Caenorhabditis elegans: one gene and its partner. The protein of the gene in region 2 interacts with the protein of the main gene of each other region in a pairwise test. Each region holds a gene or a part of one and is shown on either strand. Other genes may lie near its edges.

Evidence for each region. Proteins that work in one complex are often made in the same cells at the same time.
Region 1: the proteins of fkh-2 (region 2) and Y73C8B.3 interact in a two-hybrid assay, tested with the Caenorhabditis elegans proteins (one large-scale study listed by BioGRID).

Annotation. Positions count from the first base shown.
Region 1 is NC_003283.11:3,190,747-3,194,842, forward strand, and holds Y73C8B.3 (AB hydrolase-1 domain-containing protein), read right to left. Parts: upstream 2,492-4,096; 5' UTR 2,385-2,491; coding exon 2,241-2,384; intron 1,734-2,240; coding exon 1,580-1,733; intron 1,524-1,579; coding exon 1,242-1,523; intron 1,185-1,241; coding exon 1,063-1,184; intron 1,014-1,062; coding exon 918-1,013; intron 866-917; coding exon 677-865; 3' UTR 556-676; downstream 1-555. Other genes in the region: Y73C8B.2 (AB hydrolase-1 domain-containing protein), read right to left, coding at 2,723-2,887, 2,934-3,029, 3,085-3,206, 3,257-3,692; Y73C8B.9 (Transposase), read left to right, coding at 2,812-2,831, 3,130-3,205.
Region 2 is NC_003284.9:3,739,684-3,744,164, reverse strand, and holds fkh-2 (Forkhead box protein fkh-2), read left to right. Parts: upstream 1-1,841; 5' UTR 1,842-1,910; coding exon 1,911-2,019; intron 2,020-2,423; exon of another isoform or gene 2,424-2,624; intron 2,625-2,774; exon of another isoform or gene 2,775-2,776; coding exon 2,777-2,883; intron 2,884-2,941; coding exon 2,942-3,215; intron 3,216-3,271; coding exon 3,272-3,594; 3' UTR 3,595-3,958; downstream 3,959-4,481. UniProt on the Caenorhabditis elegans protein: Transcription factor. Plays a role in embryogenesis and later development, perhaps acting redundantly with forkhead protein pes-1.

The DNA.
Region 1 (4,096 bases), on a different chromosome or scaffold from region 2:
AAAAAACGATTAAAATCGTATTATTCTTCAAAGGCGCACCTCATTTTTAATTTAAAAAAATTTAACCGTATTTTTCAGTTATATATCGCAAAATTTCGCCGTTAAGAGTACTTTTAAATTGGAAAAAAGGCCGATCTAAAAATGTTTCAAGATATTGGGACAATTTAAAATGGTTTGAGTCATAGGTGGGCGACAAACGATTGCTTCCGGCAAATCGGCAAATCGGCAAATCGACAAATTGTCGGAATCGAAATTTCCGGCCTATCGGCAAATCAGCAAATTTCAGCATTTAAAACTTTCGACAAACCGGCAAATTGGCATATTGTGGTTTTGCACATTTTTTTTTTGGAAATTTCAGAATTTCAATTTTAATCGGCAACACATCTATTTTGAAAAGTATGCAAGTTCTATGAAAATATCTAGAAAAAACGGGAAAAAAATTTCAAAAAGGCACAGTTTTTTTTCTTATAAAAAATATCCTCCAAAAACTTCCGGCAAATTGATGTGCGGCAAATCGGCAAATCGGTAAATTGTCAAAAAATAAAAATTTTCGCCCACCCCTGAATAAACTTTATTTTCGGGAAAAAACTTTCAAAACTTGCAAAAAATCACTTTTAGTTTTTTTTTTAATACACAAAAAATTCAAAAAATCACTTCTAAGTCTTCATTACATGATTCACAATTTATTTCTACTCGTTTTCTCATTTTCAAACATGGCTTTACAAGCCTCAGCTACCAGGCCGGCTCTCGATTTGTTCTGAAAATGATTGTCCTGCGCGACGAAAACCGAAGCTCCACGTTGAGTCCCCGTAAAGGAATCAAGGATTTTCAGTCTCTCGGCTTCTGAGATCTCTTTGTCAATGTTCTGAAAATAATTGTATTGTATAATAAAGCTACTTTTCAAAAAAAAAACTTACAAAATGCTGCAATCCTTCATGCTTCTCGAGCGTCTCAAAAACAATTTCCTCCTCGACGAGGTGATCTTTTCCGGCGAAAACAATCAGTTTTTTGACCTAAAAATTGTGAAGATGAAGCTTCAAAATAATGAACTATCAATCTTACATTCATATCGTTTGTCTTTTCAATAAACTCAAGTTGTCCTCCCAACGAGACATTTATCATAGATCTCATCGAGTTGACGGCCTCCTCGCCAGTAGTGATTTTGAATCCAAAAGCTTTATATACTGAAATTCAGAAGGGTTTTAGTATGAGGTTTTCAAATTTTCAAAAAAAAAACTCACCGCCCAACATCATGGCATTTCCGAGGAATAATGGTAGCATTTTATAAATTGAATCCACAGTTGTCATTCTAGAAATCGGGTTGATTCCCTTATGAATCCTCAGACCAGTCGGATTGATGAGCACAATTCCGTGAGCATCTCGAGCCACAGCCGTCTGAAGAGCATTCTCACATCCACGACTGTGACCGATGTACGCCATTTTTCCATCGATGCCTAGCTCATCCAGCAGTGCATTCGAATAGTTTTGCCGTTCGATGTTGATATGTTTTTGGTCGGGGTACTCTACAAAATTTAATTATTTTAAAATAATTTTTTTGAATTAAAGAAAATCAACTCACCATTTGTAAACGTGAAGCCTGGATAATTGACTCCAATGAATCTAATTTTTAAGTCATCCAGCTTGCTCCGAATGTACTTGAAATCGTTGTGAGACCCAGGGGAGCCGTGGAAAGCAACTACAGTACCAAATGGTGAGCCGGAAGTAAGGGAGTCCTAAATATATAAAATTGGCTCTACTCGTTTCATAATTTAAAAAAATCATTCCATCAGAAAATTTGAACACAAAATTAATTTTTTTTTTAACTTTTAGCTGATAATTTTGCTTTTTGGCAAGTTTTCCAGTACTATCAAGAATACTAAATTTTGCAATAATACGGTATCTGGTCTCGACACGACAAATTTTTGGTAAATGCAAAATGTGCGCCTTTAAAAAGTACTGTAATTTCTAACTCGTGTTTCAGTTGAAGTTTCATTGCTTTTTTATAGTTTTTCGGCAGAAAAGTATACTTTTTTGTTCGAAAAACTTTAATAATACAATAAACAATATTTAAACTTCTGAACAAATTGTGAAGAAAACTATGAAAAATTGATGAAACTTAGCAGAAAAAAAGTTTGAAATTACAGTACTTTTTAAAGGCGCACACCTTTTTGAATTTAACAAAAACTTGTCGTGTCGAGACCGGGTACCCTATTGCAAAAATCCAAAAAAAAAAAACTAACCTCATAAACCGCATCCAGCTCCACTTTCTTCCCGCTTTCCGTCTCAAACTTTACCAATTTTCGGCACAAATTTGGTTCCGTCATTTTTTGAAAAACTTTTGATGGGCCAGCAGAGGCCGCCAGAAACACTTTCGACGTTATCATTACACTAAAACTATTTGGAAAAATAAATTTTAGTGGATTTTTTTCTACTAGGAAATGATGGGGACAATGCGAGAGTTCACGTATTTAAAGAGAGCGCAGAGAGAAGGTTGGGTGAACTGAAGAGATAGTGTAGGGGTTAGATGAGGCGCAGAGACGTAAGAAAAAAGCGTTCGGAGATAGATGGGTGTAGTGTTGGCCACATTGTCGTCTGTGTAGTTGATATCATTTGTAGCGGAAAATATGTCAAAATTGATAAGGATTTTAGTTGTCTAGACCCCGTCGGGAGTATAGGAAAAATTAATTTATGCTTGTAAAAGTCCAGTAAACGTTCGAAAAAATTATGCATCCAACATTTTCTTGCAGGACTCAGCGACCAGCTCTGCCTGTGATTTATTCTGAAAATGGGTGTCCTTCGCCACGAAAACTGATGCACCAAGTTGATTTCCCGTAAAACATTCCATAATTTTTGACTTTTCCTCTTCAGAAATTCCATCTTCAAATCTCTGAAAAATTTTAAGTTTATGGTAGAGATGCTAGAAGTTAACTCACAAAATGCTCCAAACCGTCATGTTTCTCCAATTTCTCTAGGACAATTTCTTCTTCTACCAAGTGGTCGTTTCCGCCGAAGACGATTAGTTTTTTGGTCTGAAAATTTTCAAAATTAGAAGGGCGTAGACGATAGGCTTTTTTGAAAACTTACATGCTTCTGATTCAACTTCTCAATGTACTCAATTTGATCTTCCAGCGACATCCTCATCACGGACCGCATTGCGCACATGGCCTCCTCTCCAGATTTCACTTTGAAGCCGATAGCTTTGTAGACTGAAATATTTTTAAAATTTGAAATGAACTAAATAAATATTTTTACTTACTTCCTAAAATCATCGAATTTCCCAAAAAACTTGGCAAAAGCCCATACATCCAGTCCAAATACTCCAGCCTATAAAATGGCCTAATGCCCTGATGATGTCTGAACCCGGTCGGATTTATGAGCACAAGACCGTGAGCTTCACGTCCGACGGCTGTTTGCAGAGCATTCTCGCATCCACGACTGTGTCCCATGTAGATAATTTTTCCGTCGATTTTCAGCTCATCTAGCAAAGCGTTGGAGAAGTTTTGGCGTTCCGGATTTGCGTGTTGTTGACCTTCATATTCAGGCGTATTTGAAAATCCCGGATAATTGACTCCAATAAATCGAATATTCAGATCATCCAGCTTGCTCCGAATGTACTTGAAATCGTTGTGAGACCCAGGGGAGCCGTGGAAAGCAACTACAGTACCGAACGGGGAGCCGGAAGTGATAGAGTCCTGAATTTGAAAAGTTAATATTAGGGGGGCAAATTTTTTAGTAGGCAAATTTGGCAAATTGGCAAAATACCGGTTTGCCGACTTGCCGGAGTTTTGATTTTCGGCAAATTGCTGATTTGTTGTTTGCCAAACCTCAACTTGCCAGAAGTTTTCAGAGGGATTTTTATAGGACTTAAAACTGTGCCTTTTTGAAAATTTTCCCCGTTTTCTTTGGATATTTTCATAGAATTTGCTTATTTTTCAAAATAGATGTAGAAGCATTCTTAGGATGCGTACAATTTTTGCCGATTAAATTTGAAATTCTGAGATTTCCAAAAAAAAATTGGCAATTTGCCGGTTTGCCGAAAATTTCAATTCCGGCAATTTACCGATTTGCCGGAAAAGGTCGTTTGCCGCCCGCCCTG
Region 2 (4,481 bases):
AGGAAGTAAATAAAACTGTGATGTTTGTAACTTTTTCAAACATCGCATCGTCAATATTCTAGTCTGGTTTGAAAATCCCGCACAACTTCTAGATTGTATTTGGCATTTGGCACACCCCAAATGTTTGAATTGACAAATTTATGATCAGCTTCTATCCGTTTTTCTAGACAGAATTCATTTTAAGGTGGAGTACCGCCAGTGGGGATAGTGTTTAAAACTACTCCTTTGGTGCCTAAATAACCAAAATTCATAGTATAACTTTTTTGAAGGATGTTTATCATGATATTCAGTCATTCTGAATCGTTGTAAGTGCATTTAGATCACCACTGGCGCTTTAAAAAAAGCTTTGACTTGCAAGTCTTTTAAAATGTTAAAACTCTGTTTTTTTTTCATTTTTGGTAATGTTTCATGTAAATTATTGACTCCTGATCTCATTTTTCATGTGTGAGCGCGTTCGTCAAAAAAATATTTTCGCCTGATTATCCAGCTGTCTGAGATATTTTCAGCGGATTGGTCCTTGATCAGTTGGAAATATTTTATGAGATTTCAATCATTTACTTTCTCAACAATTTTTTGTTAGCCAAAGCTGTAAATTACTCAATTGAATCTCCGAAACATTTTCAATAAAAAATGTAGCAAAAGTAGAAATTGTATTTAATTTTACGTAGCTAATGTTCAACCATTCTATTAATACGTGTCTCACCTCTGCATGAAAACAATCGTATTGTAATTACCCTTTTCAAACCATGCATTCACAATATTGATCCCTCTCTTAAAAACCACCTGCTATTATAGTCTCAATATGTCTTCCGGATTACAAGACACTAGAAGAATGAGTATTGAGGAGTCACTTAGTTCAATAATATGACGAGCAGCTGAATGGTGTCAATCAAACGATTTGTTGCAAAGTTGCTCATCCGCTTACCGCAGAAGATAAACTTTTTTCAATTTTAGTTATTTCAAATAGTTGTGACAGGTTACTTTTCTTACAACTACTTTTATTTTGAACTTCGAATTTGAATTACATTTTTTTAATAGCTAGTTCCACTCGCAAATGTTTTTGTTATTTTTTAATAAACAATATTTCCTCAGATTTCACTACAAACCATAGTTGTAAATTTGGCAACAACGGAGTAACGATTTTTGGAAACAAAATATAAAACTTTCCAAATTTAAAATAAAATTCATATTGTTTCATTTAGACACCATAGGAGTGGTAGATTTCTCCATTGTTGCTACTTTTTCTTTAATTCTTTAAGTTTACTTATTCATGCACGAACTGAAACTCAACTTAAGTTGGTAATAGTCTACATATAAAGAAAATAAGAGCAATTCTAATTAATTCATCAGAAGTCATTGTAAAAAAATATAGGAAGAAGACGGGTCATAATACTTGATTATAAAACTTTTTTGTCTTCCTTCGTTAATTTGGTCTAATTTCATATTCCTCAATTATCAAGTTATGTAAGATTAAGTTCTTAAGTTATCAAATATCATATTAATGAATTGCACTTTCAAAATCATGCACATTTTTTAGACGTTCGAATTTTCTGTTCAGACAGACAGTGATTTAAAAGTCATGCAGAATAGAACACTTCCACCATAATCATCCTTGGAAACGCCTCTTTGGTTTTTTCTTCATACTCAAACATTTTTGATATCCCCGTTAGTCTTCACCGCTTTACTATACTTTTTGCACCCTTTTCTACGTAGTTGGGAGACCATTCGGTTCACTCTTTCATCTTGGGTCCCCCCGCACACTCTCTACCGTGCAGGCCACGCCCAGCCGGGTGATCGCAGTGGTTAGTCCCACCCACACTGGACCCATCACTTTGTCGTGTCATTGTTTCCATACCAAATCGCATCAGTATACCAACTTTCCAAATCTCAGGAAAACGACTCGAATTCTGATGGCTCGATTCTCGATTCTGGATCTGTGCCCGGACCTTGTTGAAGAGGCGGTCAAGATTGAACAACTTCACATTTCAACTCAACCATGCATCAAGCAAGAATCCACGGGTTGGTTCGTTTTCTATTTAATTTTAAGATAGATCTTAGTATAAGCTGTTATTACATTTGTGTGTACGTGTTTGCAAACCTTCTAGGAAAAAGTATGCATTTAGAGATTAGAGCCAAGGAACAACTATTTTGTTTTTGGTTTTCAAAAGAATATCCTTGCATATCGAAAAACTCCACTTTAACACTTAAATTCATATTAATACGATTATTCTTTAAGTCAAACTTTAGAAACATTAAGCCTTCACAATATAGCTTTCCAAAATCTCGGATAATTATAGAGCTCTAAATATATGTGCTATCCTAAATTCCAGTTACTTCTTCTTAAATTCCTAACTTTATTCTATCAAAAGCATACGTTTTAGGGTACTGTACATTTCTTCACACCAATTCCATTACCATATTCAAAAGCGCGGCGGCTCTTGTTATTATTATTATTCTTATTATTATCTGTTAAACATGCGCATATGTGCTTTAAGCTTACGGTAGCGCCCGCTGTTTGCCTCAGCCAACCGCACTTGTTGTCGTCGTTGATTGATGTTTGCCATCGTTCTCGTTTTTCGTATCAAATCCTCCGCTTGAATCCCCAACCGAACCTCCCCAAGCGTTTACACTTCACCTAAAATGTCAGTAGAGACGCGGCGACCAGCTGTCATGTTGTTGCGGATTTGTAAACCCTCAGCTCGTCAAAACTCATAATCTCTTTGTTGCACCACATGCTCCGGTCTTCTTATGCCTACCGTAATCGTTTTATCTTCAGATATCAGTGACCCAAGCACATCAATCGACACTACTGACACCATGTCCACCGATTATCTTCATGACGAGAGCATTGATGACGAACGATCAGAGAGCACATTGAGCAAGGTAACTAATCATTAAATTCCCTCTCTACGTTCAATTTCGAAGTATTCCACTTATTCAGGATTCCAAGTCACCATCATCCAGCAACTCAGAAGAGAAAACTCCAAGCTCTCCGAACGACAAGCCACCATTCTCCTACAATGCATTGATCATGATGGCCATCAAAGACAGTCCAGAAAAACGTCTCACATTGGCTGGAATTTACGAATACATCGTCACCAATTACCCATTCTACCGGGACAACAAGCAGGGATGGCAAAACTCCATCCGCCACAACCTCTCCCTCAACAAGTGCTTTGTCAAAGTTCCAAGAAACTTTGATGATCCAGGCAAAGGTAATACTCTAAATCGTTTTCCAATTAACTCATATTTTAATCCAATACATTTTCAGGGAACTATTGGATGCTCGATGCAACTGCTGAGGACGAGGTATTCATTGGTGGAGCAACTGGAAAACTGCGCCGTCGCCCTTCCTCTCTCTCGCGTGCTAGAATGGACGCCTACAAGCAGTACGGAGCAGCCGCTGCAAACCTCTTCCCATACTTCAGTCCAGGAATGCCAGCCCTCCCTCGTCACCCGTATCTGACTGCTCCAAATGGCTTTCTCCCTCGTCAAATGATGCCGATTCCAGCGATGCCTCAAGTTTTCGCACAACCTGAACTTTTACAATTATACATTAACCAACAACAAAGCTTATTCACAAAACTACAGTAATCCTTCTTTTTATGGCCTTCAAGTTTTCTTAACTCAGCATGTGTCTCCTATTAGTAGTTCGGTGTACCTATTTTTGATTTATAACTTATTTCGACCTAATTAACCTACACCAAGTTTACAATATTTCTATTCACGGGTAGCAACTTGCAATATTTTTTTCAAGAAATTGATTAGCGGTAACTTTTATAACTATAAATACATGCCCCTCTTCCGCTTGTCATCCTTCTCCCTCCACAACACCTTATAAAGATCTGTGTTCCTTGCTTTATTACTTGTTCCCATTCCGTGCTTGTAACACCAATTGTTATTTTTTCGTCATTATTGTCAACACCTTTATGTTTTCATAATAAATCACTTGTAGTCATGTGACTCTTTTTTGCCGTCAAACGTCGATTATTTTTGTCGGGTGTTGGTTACGCAATGGAGCTGTGCAAATCGGTGGTCATGGTATTCGAGATGCCGCCCCCGAGCAGATGCGTTTTTTTTTATTTCGCCACGCCGACCGTTTAAACTATTAAGATTAGATCTGAAAATTGAGACCAAACAGAGAATTTCAAGCTCAGATTTTGAAATTAATTTGGTGCGAGAAGTCAAATTTAGTTTTGTACAATCCAAATTCACAGACAGTGATTTTAAAGTGATGCAGAAAATAACACTTTCCCGGTAATCAGATTTGATGAAAAAAAATGTTTTTTTGACATTTTTGATATCTCGATAGAAATCTTCACAAGTACACAGAAGGAAAATATAATAGTTTAAAAGCTCTGTTCAGTCATAAATGGAGCAAATTGCGAAAATGCCCGAATATCACAGTGAAACTAAGTTTTATTTAAAATATTTTGTTTTGTTTCAAAAAAGTGGTAAATACTCAGTGTTGCCACTTTTTT